Coturnix japonica: one gene and its partners. The protein of the gene in region 2 interacts with the protein of the main gene of each other region in a biochemical or structural test. Links are inferred from orthologs where the notes say so. Each region holds a gene or a part of one and is shown on either strand. Other genes may lie near its edges.

Evidence for each region.
Region 1: the proteins of CDC34 (region 2) and FBXW11 form a complex in vitro, tested with the Homo sapiens proteins (2 studies listed by BioGRID). The link is inferred for Coturnix japonica from reciprocal best matches to the Homo sapiens genes CDC34 and FBXW11.
Region 3: the proteins of CDC34 (region 2) and WWP2 form a complex in vitro, tested with the Homo sapiens proteins (2 studies listed by BioGRID, with this or other methods). The link is inferred for Coturnix japonica from reciprocal best matches to the Homo sapiens genes CDC34 and WWP2.
Region 4: the proteins of CDC34 (region 2) and CUL1 form a complex in vitro, tested with the Homo sapiens proteins (3 studies listed by BioGRID). The link is inferred for Coturnix japonica from reciprocal best matches to the Homo sapiens genes CDC34 and CUL1.

What each region holds. Positions count from the first base shown.
Region 1 is NC_029528.1:13,937,708-13,941,818, reverse strand, and holds the start of FBXW11 (F-box/WD repeat-containing protein 11), read left to right. Parts: upstream 1-1,303; 5' UTR 1,304-1,333; coding exon 1,334-1,378; intron 1,379-4,111.
Region 2 is NC_029543.1:1,770,794-1,773,649, forward strand, and holds the end of CDC34 (ubiquitin-conjugating enzyme E2 R1), read left to right. Parts: intron 1-116; coding exon 117-203; intron 204-705; coding exon 706-803; intron 804-934; coding exon 935-1,069; intron 1,070-1,530; coding exon 1,531-1,741; 3' UTR 1,742-2,355; downstream 2,356-2,856. UniProt on the Homo sapiens protein: E2 ubiquitin-conjugating enzyme that accepts ubiquitin from an E1 ubiquitin-activating protein, and catalyzes its covalent attachment to other proteins by an E3 ubiquitin-protein ligase complex. In vitro catalyzes 'Lys-48'-linked polyubiquitination.
Region 3 is NC_029526.1:16,981,906-16,986,192, reverse strand, and holds the start of WWP2 (NEDD4-like E3 ubiquitin-protein ligase WWP2), read right to left. Parts: upstream 2,809-4,287; 5' UTR 2,780-2,808; coding exon of another isoform or gene 2,737-2,779; intron 848-2,736; exon of another isoform or gene 847-847; 5' UTR 832-846; coding exon 762-831; intron 406-761; exon of another isoform or gene 326-405; intron 147-325; coding exon 1-146. Other genes in the region: RNA-binding protein NOB1, read left to right, coding at 2,872-2,943, 3,038-3,170, 3,257-3,390, 3,466-3,537, 3,621-3,758, 3,832-4,056. UniProt on the Homo sapiens protein: E3 ubiquitin-protein ligase which accepts ubiquitin from an E2 ubiquitin-conjugating enzyme in the form of a thioester and then directly transfers the ubiquitin to targeted substrates.
Region 4 is NC_029517.1:75,356,463-75,360,613, forward strand, and holds the start of CUL1 (cullin-1), read left to right. Parts: upstream 1-1,343; 5' UTR 1,344-1,484; intron 1,485-1,490; exon of another isoform or gene 1,491-1,751; intron 1,752-4,151. UniProt on the Homo sapiens protein: Core component of multiple cullin-RING-based SCF (SKP1-CUL1-F-box protein) E3 ubiquitin-protein ligase complexes, which mediate the ubiquitination of proteins involved in cell cycle progression, signal transduction and transcription.

The DNA.
Region 1 (4,111 bases), on a different chromosome or scaffold from region 2:
TTTCTACCAGCGTTGATGCAAGTTACACCTTTTTGCCCAGGTTTCCTCCAACAGCTTCAGAGTCCTGCAAGTGCTCCTGTAGCTCTTCATGCATTAACCACAGCTCCATGCAGGCTGCCAGGCCACGGATTCACCTCCCTTCAAACCTCTGGGGGAACATTTGCCTATTTCTTTTCTTACACATTCAGCAATGCTTTGTGCTTTCAGAGGACAACACATCAGTGCCTTGTCCACACAGCACAGTGGTGTTCAATGCCTTGTCCATACAGCACAGTGTTGTTCAATGCCTTGCACACACAGCACAGTGTTCAATGCCTTGCACACACAGCACAGTGGTGTTCAATGCCTTGTCCATACAGCACAGTGGTGTTCAATGCCTTGTCCATACAGCACAGTGGTGTTCAATGCCTTGTCCACACAGCACAGTGATGTTCAGTGCCTTGTCCATACAGCACAGTGATGCTCAATGCCTCATACACACAGCACAATGGTGTTCAATGCCTTGCACACACAGCACAGTGATGTTCAATGCCTCGTACACACAGCACAGTGATGTTCAATGCCTCGTACACACAGCACAGTGGTGTTCAATGCCTTGTCCATACAGCACAGTGGTGTTCAATGCCTTGTCCATACAGCACAATGGTGTTCAATGCCTTGCACACCCAGCACAGTGTCTAGGTGCAGTGTAGTTCTGTAGGCAGCTCTGTGACACAGCATTGTCCCCATCAGCACATCTCTTCCCTGTATTATGAATTAACGCACTTTATGCTCGCTCTGTCTCATATCTGCTGTTCCATTTGGTCCCTGGAGCGAACAATGACAGTGAGCAGCTCAGGATCTCTACAGCAACCGTGGAACAGCTTCACCTGCCAGTCGTTACTTGTAGGCCGCGGTGTGAAGGTGTGAGGAATCCAGCCCAGCTGTAGCAGGAGGGGCTGTGTGACATGTGTTCCATGGTGATGTTAATTGTTGTGGTGAGGGCTGAGGTGACACCGCGTGCTCTCCCATCACAATGATGGCACCGTACACCTGTGGTGTTTCCCAGCCCGGCGCCATTTTCTCTCCACACACCCAGGCCGCCTTCCCGGGGAGCCCCCAGCAGCCAATAGGAGCTCGGCACCGCGGGGGGCTGCTGGGAATTGTGGTCCGCTACTAGGAAGCGGGCGCCATGTTCTTCCGGGCGTCGTGACGTCACGTACGTGCGTGCGTGTGCGCGCGCTTGGAGGGGGGGTGGGCGAGCGGCGGCGGGGCCTGGCGGGTGGCGGGGCGGGGGGGGGGGGGGCGGGGGGGGGGGGGGGGGGGGCGGGCACCGCGCGGAGCTACCGCCGCTATGGAGCCCGACTCGGTGATCGAGGACAAGACTATCGAGCTGATGGTGAGTCCCCCCCCCTCCTTCTCCTCCTTCTCCTCCTCCTCAGCCTCCCGTAGGGCCCGGCCAGCTCGCTCCGTGTGGGCCTGAGGGGCCCGGCGCTGCTCGGAGGTGGCTGCGGGCCTGGCCCGGCCTCGCGCCTCTCCCTCATCCTCCATTGGGAGCCGTGAGGTAAAAAAAAAACGTTATAAAAACCAATGAGTAATTGAAGGAATAGAGAAACTGATGGATAAACGTGTATCCAAATAAAGGGGGGGAAGGTCCGGAATTCCGGGCCTGGGGGGAGCTGCCCTTCCGGCCGCCCAAGCGAAAGGCCCCGAATTGCTGTTAATGGGGGGAGCAGCTCTAAGCTGTGAGGAATGGAATCACCAACACAGCCATGTTCGCTGCTTCATAACGCTGTGTGCGTGCTGTGATGCTGCTGGTGGGATCCTGCACAACGCAATGGAGCTGGATGGTAAAAAACAGCTGGAGTGGGCTGTTATTGCGCACTGAAGGGGAGCTGGGTGTAACGGGGCTCACCCAGCAGCTCTGCGAAATGCCAGCTGCCCTCTGGTATTACTGTGGGGATGCAGAGATGGAAAGTCAAAAGGAAACGGCGTTTCAGTGCTCACTGTGCATCGCTGAGGCCAGAAGCTTAAAGGCCGTTCTGGGTGATCCCGCTGTCCCAGCTTATTTGGTGAGCTCACTCATTGCCAGCGACATCAGAGTGGCTGCGGTGCAGGTGTGTGTTCCAGCAACAGAAAACTGCCTAATGCATTTCCAACACAGGCAGTGCATCCCAGCAGTGCTTTCCTAACTGTGCCAGTGGGTTGCAAATACCGCCTGGCCTTGGGGTGTGTGAGCTGCAGTGATGAGGCTGGAAGGCATCGTGGCCTCGCTCAGGTTTCTTGGTTGCCCTTTGAGAAGCGTTCCCTGCTTTTGGCCAAATTACCAATGGGTAGAAGCAAATGGAATTTCTCAGTGCTGATAGTGGCCCTGTCCCCTTTTACAGCTGCATCTTGGAAATGTGCAAAGGGAAAGTCAAATATGGGTGGGATATTAAGATTTTCATTACATAGGAGGCTTAAGAAACAAGTTTTTTCCTTTTTCAAAACAGTATAAAATTTTAGTAGGGTGAACAATTAATTCCCAATAGAAATCGCTATTCCATAAAGCACAGCTGGTAGTTTAATTTTGATCCTTCCAAAGGCTTGTGCAGAACCACTTGTGTCTGAGCAGAAATGCTTCCCTGGAGTCACCAAAAGCCCATTGAAATGAAGCCCTGCCACAAAGGTTCTGTGCTCTGCTGTGGTGGCAGATGAGATTCCATGGAAGGTTTGAAACAAAGAGAGCAGAAGTTGTGTTGGCAGTTTTCAGCCAGCAATCACAGTGTTCTGTGCAGCCTCTTGTTGTTCATAGCAGCATTAAACATTGCAAAGCCAGAGATGAAGGTGCAAAACCTGATGGGATGCTCCTCTGTTCATGAGTGTTATTGTCAGGAAGAAGAATGGCTGCTTGCTTACTGTTCCAGCCTCCCATTGATCCAGCAGGCTGTATTTGCAGCCCTTTGGGTGCTTGCTCAGTGCCTTCCATTGCCAGGGCTGAGTCCTCAGTACTGCAGGTGCAGATGGATGATGCAGGAGTTCTGAGTAGCTGATAAACCAGAGATAATGTATCAACACGTTAGTTGCATAAAGTCAGAGAACAGGGTGTTCTAACACTCAACTTTTCCTGTGCTGGATGGATCATTTTATTTAAGGCAAAATCAGTCATAGAAATAACCCCGGTCTATTTTTAAAGCTGAAATCTAAGAGAAATATCTTAAGGCTTCAGAGTGACAACTTCTATTTGCTGTATGAAGTTCTAGCTCATGTTCTGAAGTTGCCATCTTAGGGCAGCTGGAGGCTTTAGCTATTATGTTCTAGCTCTGGAAATCACATCGTTAGCCTTTTAACAGCGATGAGCAGGTGATGTAGTTAGGACTTGCCATAGCTTTCAGTTGTACATGGGATATGGTACTTGGCCCTGTGCTGGCACTCGGGGGGTGCTATGTCCATCGGATGCACTGTGTGAGCGGGTGAACGATTGGCAATGAGGAGTAAGGAGGTAATCCAGAACAGATGGAGGGATGCCAAAAGGATGGAAAGGGCTCTTTCTTTGCCTGGTTTTGGTTTTCTCTGTGAAATCAAATCACAATAACCTTTGTGCTCTTCTAAAGGATTGGACTTTCTGAAGGTGAAATACTGACAACAAATGATTTGTGAAATGTGTGGGATGGAGGGCTGTGCTCAGCAGCACCACCACCGTGTGCTTGTTTACATTGCGTTGGAACTTGTATCTTAAAGTTACATATATGGAAAATATTCTCCTTCATGTGGCACCTTTGTTGTCTAGAATGTCTCTCTCATTACGTTGTCCAGTGTTTTAAGTGCCTCCGTAAATAATATAAGTGAAGAACTTCAACATTCAGTATGTTGCCAAAAGTCTTTCAGTTTCTCCTGGCAGAACTTTGATGGGAGCTGCAGGTCTTCATACTCACAAGGTAACAACATCTCAGAGCAAAGTGTTTCTCACAGGACCACTTTACCAGCAGCAACTTGTGGAGATGGTGCTGGTGCTACACAGGATTCCCTGGCTCACTGTGGCTGGACATGCCCCCAAACTGAAGCTTTACAGTGCAAAACAAACCTGAGCGTTCTGGTTGGAAACACACATACAACAGCTGGATGTGTCTCCATAGGCCTATAACGTTCTGCT
Region 2 (2,856 bases):
GCAATGCAGGGGGGTTGACAGAGGCTTCTTTACCCTGGTGGTAGTCAGAGTTATGTGGCTTCTTTCCGTTCCTTTTCAGAAACCAACAGTGATGACTTCTTATCATTTCCTTGCAGGCCCGTCTCCGATTTCCCATCGACTACCCCTATTCTCCACCTGCGTTCAGGTTCTTGACCAAAATGTGGCACCCCAACATCTATGAGGTAGGTGTTCTGGAATAGCTTCATGTATTGGAACCACAGCTGACTGAGGCTTTTAGGACAGCCTGTCCTCTAACCTGAAACTGGTTCCAGGTTAGTCAGGCATAAGGGCTCCATGCTTATGCAGCAAGGTCGTGGTGCTTGAGCTAAGGGTGGATGCAGAGTGGTGGCTTGCTGGGCCCTGCAGTGGAGCAGCTGCTGCTTGAAGCCATTGAGGAGCACCGGGAGAGCTGCGCCACGTGTTCAATGTCAGCTGGTGACTTGGCAGCCCCATCTGTATCATACCAGTAGTGTCAGGGTGTTGATCCAATGCCTGAGAGTGCAGACAGCGTGGTAGCCTTTTCAATATCCCATTCGAGGTAACAAAAGCACAGGCTGGGACTTCCTCACATGTCTTAAGCCAAAGGAAAGAGCAGCCCAGGGTGCTGGGGCAGAGGATGAGCTGCTTCTGGGCCGTGCTTGGGGCAGCAGCCCCTACTAATGCTATTTTTCTATGTACTTTCAGACTGGTGATGTCTGCATCTCCATCCTGCACCCACCAGTGGATGATCCACAGAGTGGGGAGCTGCCATCCGAGCGGTGGAACCCTACACAGAACGTGAGGTATGGGCAGGGCTGGGGAGAGGGAGGGAGTGAGTGAGTGGGGACCTGTGGGAGGCTGCTGGCATCCATTGGGTTGCAGGCAGCTGCAGACCTGCCTTGGTTCTTACTTGCTTGTGTCTCTTGGCTGCCAGGACCATTCTTCTGAGCGTGATCTCATTGCTGAATGAACCCAACACGTTTTCTCCAGCCAACGTTGATGCCTCTGTGATGTACCGCAAATGGAAGGAGAGCAAAGGAAAGGATCGGGAGTACACAGACATCATCAGGTGTGTGGGGAGCTGGGCTGAGACCCAGCAGCATTCCTATAGACTTTGAGAGGGCTTAACTGAGCTGTGGTTGTGTTACATGGGATAATGAGATCCTGAGGGCGCAGCCCTGTTCAGTCTTATCTGCAGGCTCCTTGGGTAGAAGGATTCTGGCTCTGAGTGTGGCTCTCGAGGAGCGGTTTGGCTGTGTTACGTGCTCAGCTTTGTTGCTGATGTGAGCCCTGGCTCTTTTCAGCTCTAAAGCTGAGGGTGTGGGTATGCAGCACTGCATTGCTGCCAGGTCTGTGGTTTGGGGCTGGCCAACCTTAGCATGGCAACAGGGGCCCTCAGAGCATGGGACACTCCCAGTCCTTTGTGGTGAGTGAGTGTGAGCTGGTGCACAAGAGGGAAAAAGAGCTGCATCCCCAAGCTGTGCTGTGCAAAGCCCCTGTTCTCACCTCATCTGCTTCTCCCCCCTCCAGAAAACAAGTCCTGGGAACAAAAGTGGATGCTGAGCGGGATGGCGTGAAGGTCCCCACCACACTGGCAGAGTATTGTGTAAAGACCAAGACTCCGGCCCCAGATGAGGGCTCAGACCTCTTTTATGATGACTATTACGAGGATGATGAGATGGAAGAGGAAGCAGACAACTGCTATGGTGATGAGGATGACTCTGGCAATGAGGAATCTTGATGGCCCTCTGGCACTGCAAAAAAAAAGTGCTGTAAACTACTGAATTTTACCTCAACTAGGACGAACTGGTTTGAATTTAGCATCTGTCAGCCCTGAAATTAACTCTACCTCACAGGGAGACTGTTCTGCTGTTGTAAAGGAAACCCCACCTGCTGTCATTGTAAAGGGGGGGGAGGAAGCAAAAAACAGAAACAAACCCTATTTTATGAACTCATGGAGAGGGGGGGTGGGTGGGAATGGGAAAAGTCGTGTTGGGGGTATTTGCAAATGCACAAAAAGCAGGGAGCTTGTGCTTCTGGCTGGGTTGAGGAGTTATGGGGAAGCTGGAGTTGTTTGGACACGATCAGCTCTTTTTGTGGAGGCTGTGAAGCTGGTGAGTGGTCGCTTTGGTAGAAAGCATGTAAGATTTGCTGTGGCTTTCTACAGTCATTAAACTGGCTGAATAGGAAGGGCTGCAGGATGGGCACAACTGCCCCCTTCCCTGGGGCAAGGTTGTCCTGCCTGATTTAGGACTGTCCCCTGTGGGACCCTTTTTCTGCCCTTCCCACACTGCTAGGGCACAGGTCTGGACTGTTTGTAGCTTTTAACTAGTTAAAGGGATGGGATAATTTGGAGTCCTTTCTGCTTCTGTTTGTTGTTTTGTTTTTATTTTTCCTCTTTTTTTTGGAAACTATTTAATAAAGTAGTTTAAGGGAACAGCTGTGTGGGTGCCTGAGGCCAACTTTGGATGAGCTCAGGCTGCAGATGGATGGTGGGGTTGGGAGGGTTCCTCCAATAACCCTCATCTCTCCTTCCCTCTGTAGACTGGGGAGGTTTAACCCAGAGAGTTTGATGTGCGCAGGCAACTCTGTGTGCCCCAGACCTGCCCAGGCATCACCCATATGCCTCAACTTGGAGCAATGCCCTTTTGCTGCCTGGTTTCTTGCTGCTTTCTCTGATGTGGGTGCAGCTGGGCAGCACCCCAAGCCCTGCAGGCCAGGAATGGCCAGGTTTGTGTGCCTTGTTAGGGCTGTGTTGGCCTCTGCCCTGCTCCAACCTGTGCCTCATTGGGGTGGATGGGGGTGGGGGGGGAAGCACTGCTGCTTGTTTCTTGGGGCTGGGGCCTCTGTGCTCCA
Region 3 (4,287 bases), on a different chromosome or scaffold from region 2:
GATGAGGATCTCATTCCACAGCAGCTCAGAGCTCCCCATCTGCTTTCCCGTCTTCTTGGTCTCGCTGGGCAGCCCATCGCCCGCCACCTCCACGTAGCAGTTCATCCGTGACTGGCGGCTGTGGGCCTTGGGCTTCACGGACACCACTGAGTGGGACAGGCAGGGGTCAAGCAGCAGCCCCACAGCCACAGCCCCTGCCCGAGGACACTGCCTCACACTTACACACCCCATCTCTGCCACCAATGCTCTGGGAAGGGGACAGCACTGGGCTGAGACAGCCCCGCTCATGCTTCACCCACTCCCATTTCACCCCACAGACACCTACCATCCCTGTTCAGCTGCTCCCAGCCCCAGGAGCCTGATGAGAAAGCCCGTGCTCTATGACAAGCCAGGGACACAGGGGTTCTGCAGGAGCCAAGGGAAGGAGGCAGTTGGCCAGGGAGAATTGCCACTCTCTAGATGGCCATGCCTGGACCAGAGGGCTGTGGGCAGTGCTGGGACACAGCTCCGAGCATCTGGAGCCATCTCGTGGCCACTGCAGGACAAACACCGCCCTGGCAGAGCCACGGAGCCACATCCCAGCAGAGGAGGCAGAGCCCCCCACAGGCAGCGCTCTGCTTCCAGAGGCCACCAGCACCAAGGCCTGGTAAAGGCTGCATGCACCACAGAGCCTGGAACACGGCCCCTCCCCACCAAGGAACCCCAAGGTCCCCCACCTGGGTGCACCCAAAGCCCAGCTCCCAGCCCTGCACAGGACTCACCTTTCACAGAGAGCTGGGACTTCTCACAGGGCAGCCCTGCCCTGGCCCTGCTGGAGCTTGCAGAGGCCATGTCATCACCCCCGGCCTGGAAGGGAGAGAGAGAGATGGGGACTCAGCACCGACGCTGAGTTGGGGCCCAAAGATATCCTGTGTCCAGCACTGCACACAGCAGAAAGAGCACACAGCCATAAGAGCACACAGCCATAAGAGCACACAGCCATAAGAGCACACAGCCACTTGGGGCAGCAGCCTGCAGGCAGCCTTGTGAGCAACTCCACCTCACCCCAACCCCGAGGCTGCTGCTGACTCTGGCCATGGGGACAGAGCAACCTCCAGTGCTGCCGAACACCAAACGAAAACCAAAGTCTGCAGGTGAGGGCACAGTATGGTACGTGAGATCCCTTGGAAAGGATGAGACAGCAGCACCATGAGCTGGGTCTGCTCACAGCACAGCAGAGCTGCATGTCCCTCAAGGACAGCCCAAGTGGCTGCCAGGCAGCAAAACACCATGGAAAAATTGGTCCTCCCTACTCCAACACACTGCGGAGCTGCAGCTCAGCACGGAGGGGAATTGCAGACTCTCCAACCTCAGGGCCGGACCCCAGCACGGCCTGCACCTTCCCAGCACTCACCACTTCCTTTTGCTGGGGCACTGCATCGCTGACAGCAGCCACAGCACTTCCCTCTCCCCCATCTGCCACAGCTTTCCCCTGGAGCTCCCCACGTGGCAGAGGCTGCAGGTTTCCTACTGAAATGCCTGACCATAAAGGAAAACCCCATGGTCAGGGATCACGCAGGAGCACGAGGTGCTCAGTCTGACACCAGCAGTCAGCTATGGTACCACACTGCTCTCACGGGGCCCTCCTCAACCCCTGCCAACTCCTTTTAAACCCCTCCTGACACCAGCCTGGCACAAGGCTGAGCCTGGAGGCCTCACACAGCCTCCCTGGGAATGCACTGCTGGGGTACGAGAGGTGAGCAGGGGATGGCAAGGAGCCCCTCCATCCTCTCTGGCAGCTGGGAGCCAGCTACAGGCTGTGGTCATGTCCAAGACTGACTGTGATACTATTACAAGTTATTCCAACTCCATTACTCCGGCCCACAGATCACCCCCCAGGATACTGCTGGCTGATTCCACACCATCACTTACTTCATTACAAACACTATCCAGGCCCACGGAACGAGGTGGCCTGACACCGAGCCCTGAGCAGGATGGGGCAGTGAGCACTGAGCTCCTCCCGGGGGCACTTGTTGCTCCACCAACAGCCCCACAGCACAGACCCACCTCACCGGGACCTGGGGCTCCGCGCTGCTCCGTCAGATTCAGGCACCACCCGCAGCCCCGCAGTGCACAGTCACAGCGCAGCCCAGGCTTTGCCACGGGAGCCGACCCGGCTCGGACTCATCGCTCACCAAACTCGTTCGTTCCAACCCGTCACCGCACACACGGAGCCTCGTCCTCTCCCGCTGTGTCCCGTGGAGCCGCAGCGTCACCCGCCCGAGAGCGGCCACCGCGACCCGCACTGCGGGACACCGGGCAGCGCCCGGCACGGGACAGCGGGGACAGCCAGGACACCGGGACATCAGGACACCGGGACATCAGGACACCGGGACATCAGGACACCGGCACAGCCGTGGCGCAGCGCTGCACCGCGCTGAGCTTCAGAGCTGCGCCCAAAACCGGGAACCGGGACCGAACCGGCACCGCGCGGTGTGAGGCAGCGCCCGGAGCCCGGTACCTGGTGCCGCCCCTCAGCCCCCACAGCCGGTGCCACGGGCCGCCCCGCCGGGCTTCCCCTCTGTTGGCCGGCAGCCGCTGCCGGTAAAGCGGAGCGGAGCAGCTGCCCGCAGCCCGACCGTTACACCGTTACACCCCATCACACCCCGTTACACCGTTACACCGTCACATCACACCCCGTTACACCCCGTTACACCCCGTTACACCCCGTTACACCGTCTCCCCTCCCGCTCTCACCGCTCCTCCGCTCTCCCGCTTCCGGTTGCAGCTCCGCCGTCATGTGACCCCGCGCGCACCTGACCGCGCCGCCCGGAAGTTGCCCCGCGCCGCCCTCCCGTCAGCCCCCGCGCGGCGCAGAGGGACGCAGCCAACATGGCGGACATGGGCCGCGTGCCGCACGTGGTGGCCGATACCGGCGCGTTCCTGAGCGGTGCCGCGCTGCAGGTACGGACCGAGAGCGGCCGGATGGGGCGGGTCCGGAACGGGGTCGGGGCTGGGGGCCGCTCCGGGCACGGGCTGAGCCTTGTTCCGCCCGCAGGACGTGGCGCGCAGCGTGTACACCGTGCCCGAGGTGCTGGCCGAGATCCGGGACCGGCGGGCGCGGCGCCGCCTGGCAGCGCTGCCCTACGAACTGCAGCTCCGCCGACCGAGGGCTGAGTATGTGCGGAACGGTGAGTGACGGGGGGCGGGTATAATGGGTAACGGATAACGGGTAACGGATAATGGGGGTAACGGCCTCTTCCGCCCCGTCCCGCAGTCACCGAGTTCGCCAAGCGCACCGGGGACTTCCCCAGCCTGTCGGCCGCCGACCTGCAGGTGCTGGCGCTCACCTGCCAGATGCAGGACGAGATCACAGGGCCGGGCAGCGTCCGCCTGCAGCCCCCGGACAAGGTAACGGGGGATGGGATGGGATGGGATGGGGCTGGGCTGGGCTGCGGGCGCTGCTGATCCCGGCGCTGCCCACAGGTGCAGCTCAGCTCCAGCCCGTGTCACCCCGAGGCCACGCTGCACATCGCCGGCTTCCACCTGCCCACCAAGGTACAGGGGGTGATGGGGACAAAGGGGGGTGAGGGGTGAGAGGAGCGGGGATGTGGAGCCCGGGGCTGCTGTGTCTCCCCCAGCACAAACGCCCGCGGAAGAGCCAGCAGCAGCACGGCCACGACAGCAGCACGGAGCTGCCTGACAGTGCTGAGTTCAGCTCCTTCCTCTACTGGAGGCTGCCCCTGCCCGACATCGAGGACGAGCTCCAGGAGATGCTGGTGAGGCTGCTGTGCTCACTGCCCCACATCCCAGCTTATTGGCATACACGGCACCAACTGCCCATCTCTGCAGAAAACACACAGCACCTCCAGCAGCCCGGCAGCCACCGACGAGTGTCAGAGCTCAGAGGATGGGGATGGTGCCGAGGAGGAAGAGGATGAGGATGAAGGGAGCGATGATGACGAGGGCTGGATAACGCCAAGCAACCTCAAGCAGGTCCAGCAGGACACGGGGCACTGCGACACCGTGCCTGCCAACGTGCAGGTCGGCTGTGTCACCACAGACTTCTCCATGCAGGTGAGTGCTGCCTCACATGGCCCTGTCTCCAGCACACAGCTCGGTTGATCCCACACACGTACCATACAAAAGTCAACCTGCGATGCTTTCTTTTGTGTTCAAAGCTGTCAGTTCTCCCCACAGCAGCAGCTGTACCACAGCAGCGCCTACCCAGAGCCCATTGGCTTTGCTGCTCTTGGCCTCTCACTGCATGGGCAGGCAAACTTGGGTGGAGCTCCTGGGCTCATGGAA
Region 4 (4,151 bases), on a different chromosome or scaffold from region 2:
ACTGGATGTTGTGTTGAGGGACATGGTTTAGTGAGAGCTATTGGTTATAGGTGAATGGTTGGACTGGATGATCTTTTAGGTGTTTTCCAACCTTGGCGATTCTATGATTCTAAGGCCAGTTTTTGAAAATGGTGTGAAGCTGCTGGAGCCAGCATGCAAGTGAAACATTTTGGAGAACAAAGAAATCTTTTGTTTCTCTCTGTTGCTTCCCCATTTCTCTCTTCATAAGGAGCTAGTGCTCCTTATGGGCAGAATTCTTCATAAAAAACTTTTCTGGGCAGAATTCTTCATAAAAAACTTTTTTAATGATTCCATGCAAGTTGCTTTAAGTATCTTTTGGTATAATTCAGACCAGCATTTGACTTCATCTTGGCAAGGAAAGTCCCCATAGTTTGGGAGGATACAGTACAGAGAGCCATGATGAAGCAAAATACAGAGGATACATTAATCCCACCCTCCTCCTTTACATCACAGTACCATGAATGTTTATTCCTGAGGACTGCGGAATTATAAGGCAGGACAGAGTCCAAAGCATTACTTTTCCAAAACCTTGATTTCAATAACTTGGCTTAATTTTGGCATGATTTTGCATTATCCATCCCATGCTTTTGAAAATTAACTGCCCCTCTTGTAATCCATGTGACAATGATACAAAAACTAGCAGTTTTTATTTTATCTTGCATTAAATTCATATACATTTGTTCAAAGATCACAAACATCATTATTTAGTTCATGATCTATTTCTCTATCAGACCTTCAAGCATCTCCCCGTCAGCTCACAAACTGAATGATTAAACTTTTCTTTCAAAGAATTTCTACCCTATTCTCTCCGCAATGTTGTTTTCTGAGTTGTTTTTTTGTTTTTCATGAAATTCACAATAACATTACAATTTCTAATTATATTTAGGTCATTGTGACCATTTCTCTTTAACTGCCATTTTTCAATTCAGTGTTTACTCGAAACTAGTGACTCTTGATGCCGTTCAGATGAGAGCAGTTTAATTTGGTAATGTCAGATGGGGATTTTCTTCAGTGTTCATTGTAACTTTAACACTGGATACCACGTAATTCAGTGGCCTAGGACAAGCTAAGAATTAGTATCTAATAAATAAAAAAGCATTTGCGATTTCATCATGAGCAGATACAAGTCTTAGCATTTCAGACTGGAAAATGAGTGCACCTGATGGCTCTAGAAGCGGCCTAACTCTGGGGGGCCAAGCAGGATGACCCTTTAGGGCAGTAAAACGTACAGGCCAGAAGACTCGGACCATCAACGCGACCCTGTTGAACGACTGCGCCGTTGTCATTTCCGGCTGCACACACACCTGCCTTTGTCATTTCCGCCGGGGCAGCCGGAGAAGGCAGGCTTGTGGAGAGCAGCACAACCAAAGGGCAACTCCTCCCCGCGCGGGCGCCGTGGCTGCCGGTTATTTTTAGTTCCGGACTCGAGGCTCAAACTACGCTGATCTCTTCCGGTGGCTTAGGTGGGGAGAGGTTCTGCTGCGCTGTCTTTGCTAGCCCTTTGCCCGCCTTTAGGGAGAGGAGAGGAGGCGGCAGCGGGCTGGGTAGACTTCGCGTCTACCCACGGGTTGGGTCCTCTCCACGCCGTGGGTCGCTCCGAGCCAAGCTAAGGGGGGCGGTGCCTTCTCGCTTTCTGAGCCGTGCTGAGGGGAGGCGGTGGCGGATCTGGGCTCGGCGGTAGCGGAAGGGGCGGGCGGACGCGGCCTGACTCTGCGGGACGTGCGATACTGGTGAGTGCGGGAGGCCGCGGTGCTGTGTCGCAGCCAGGCCAGCAACGCAGCCGGGCCGGGTGGGGAAGCTCAGCTGGGCCAAGGCGACAAGGGCTTAACGAAGCGTGGCCCGGCTTTGAGTCATACAGCGAGGAGCGCGGGAGCAGGAGGGGCTGGGCCTGGCCGACCTGCCCGCCCGCCTTTCTTCTACCGGGCGTACACCGCGTTCCAGAGACAGCGGGAGTCGTTGTCTGACGGGTTCGGAGCTCCGGCCTCGAAGTTGCGGGCCGGTGCGGGAGGCCTCTAACTACGCACTGGAATTACATCACCCCGCCGGACCGCGAGGGCCCGCGCTGCCGGCAACCCTCGCCTCACAGATCTGCCTGTTGTCTGCCCTGCCCGCTCCCCTATCGAGGTCGGCCCGACCTCCCTCCCGCCTCCCAGCCCTTCCCGGCACGTGGCCTGGACCGCCACGGTCGTTGCTTTAGACTTACATCTCTCAGATCCTGACCCTTCGGGCCCTTCTTTCCAGAGCCCTACACCTCTTCTGCCTTCTCACTGGCCCTAGGACTGTATGCCCAGGCCGTGTTCATTCTAGGCCTCATCTATTCTATCCTGAGGCCTCTGGAGCTTTTCCCGTAGCTTGTCTCATCACCAGTGTTAGTTTTTTGTCTGTCTTCACTTCTCTTTTCTCCTTTATTCTTCACGTGGTTACCTTTCATTCTGTTGTTTCCATCTCAAAACTAGTAGCACTCAGATCTATATAGGACCCGTGTGGTTGTAGCCAAATTTCTCTTGTGTACCCACCCAACCCCTTACTGTCATCTCTAAAGTATTTATTTCCATTGTTGTTATCTTCCTCAGCTTTATCAAGGACTGTGCCCCAGGTTTTCCCTTGTAGCTCCCTAATGTTGTGTTCCCAGGGAGAGTTTCCCAACCCTCCTCCCTTTCTCACCCCTCTCTCCCCCCCCAAATAACCTCTTACCTGTTTGTTTGTTCATGTATTTATTGCCGCCATCCAGATGGCAAGTCTTGCAGTTGTTTGTCATTGCAGCTAATCACCTCCTTTGTCTCCCAGTAACTTTGTCTGCCACTGAAAGCTGTGTCCTTATTGTGATCCTTTTCCAATCCTTATTTCCTTTTCAGCCCTATTTCTTAATCATCACCATTCCCTTATCACCTTTCCTGTTTCAGCTTTCTTCCTCCCATATTTCCTTCACCGTGATTTTTTTTTTTCCCCTTCCCTTTTGATCTTACTTTCTTGTCTTAAAAATCTTCTTTGTCATCTCACCTCTTTTTCCTTTGGCATATTCCTTTCCTTTCTAGGCTCACTTGCTGTCCCCTGCACTTTAAGTCCTCCAGCTGTGCCTTTGACAAGAGAGGAATGTGAGCTTAATTCATCTTCAAGAGTTAGGCGATTATAGATTATTTACTTGTTTCACCTTACTTTGTTTTCATTTGTTTGTTACTGACTTCCTTAATAGCCTTTTGTCAATAAATGCTTTCATATATCATCACTTTAATACATACCTAATGCAATGCTAGTCTAGAAAAAAAAAATCCGTCTTAGGACCATCCTCTTAGTCCTGCCAAATGGTTTTCATGGGGAGCAGAAATAACTGGTGGCTGTGTAACTTAAATTATGCTAAATACCGTTCGTTATGCTGAATTGTTGTAATACTTTAAGTTGGTACTTATGAGATACAGGGTGTGTTAAGAATACATTTGCTTTGAGGAATTAGTAAAGTACGTCTTCAGTACCATGGTACATGGTTTTTGCTCCAGATATGCTGGTAGTGAGCTGCTGCAGTACTGTCATTCGATGGTAAGGAGTGTGTTGCATTGGCACTTGGTATCTGCTGGCAACTGCTGTAAAGTAGTCTTTCCCTGTGCTTTGTGATTTTTCTTGTTTCTTAGGAGTTGTTACCAGATTTCTTATTTTATGTCTGTCTTACTTGGTTTGGCTCTTAAGATTATGAGATGTAACCAATCTTACTGTTGTGATGTATTTGAGGTATGATTTAAACACGAAAGACTGCTGTCCTGTGGCAGTGTAGGGAATACAATGAATCTAGAGAGCAATTTCTGTACTTAACTTTAGAATCCTAGTTTGTTGTCTAATTTTGACAACTTGATCTTGTTTTCTCAACTGAATATATGCAACCTAGTAACTTCACAACAACTCGGAACAACTGAACTGGGCTTCTGAGCTGAATTACCCCTCTGGAGGAAACTTTTTCATTTGTCTATTCTATACTGAGAATAGTTTATAGTTTAGGCATCTGGATTAGATGTACACATTTCACTGCTTGAGTGACAAATTGATTGTGCTGGCTCAACTAAGTTATCCTCCTTTCACTTCTTCACTGCATGAGAAAATTTCATTGCATCTCTATAAAGCATGGAAATTAATTTAAGCTA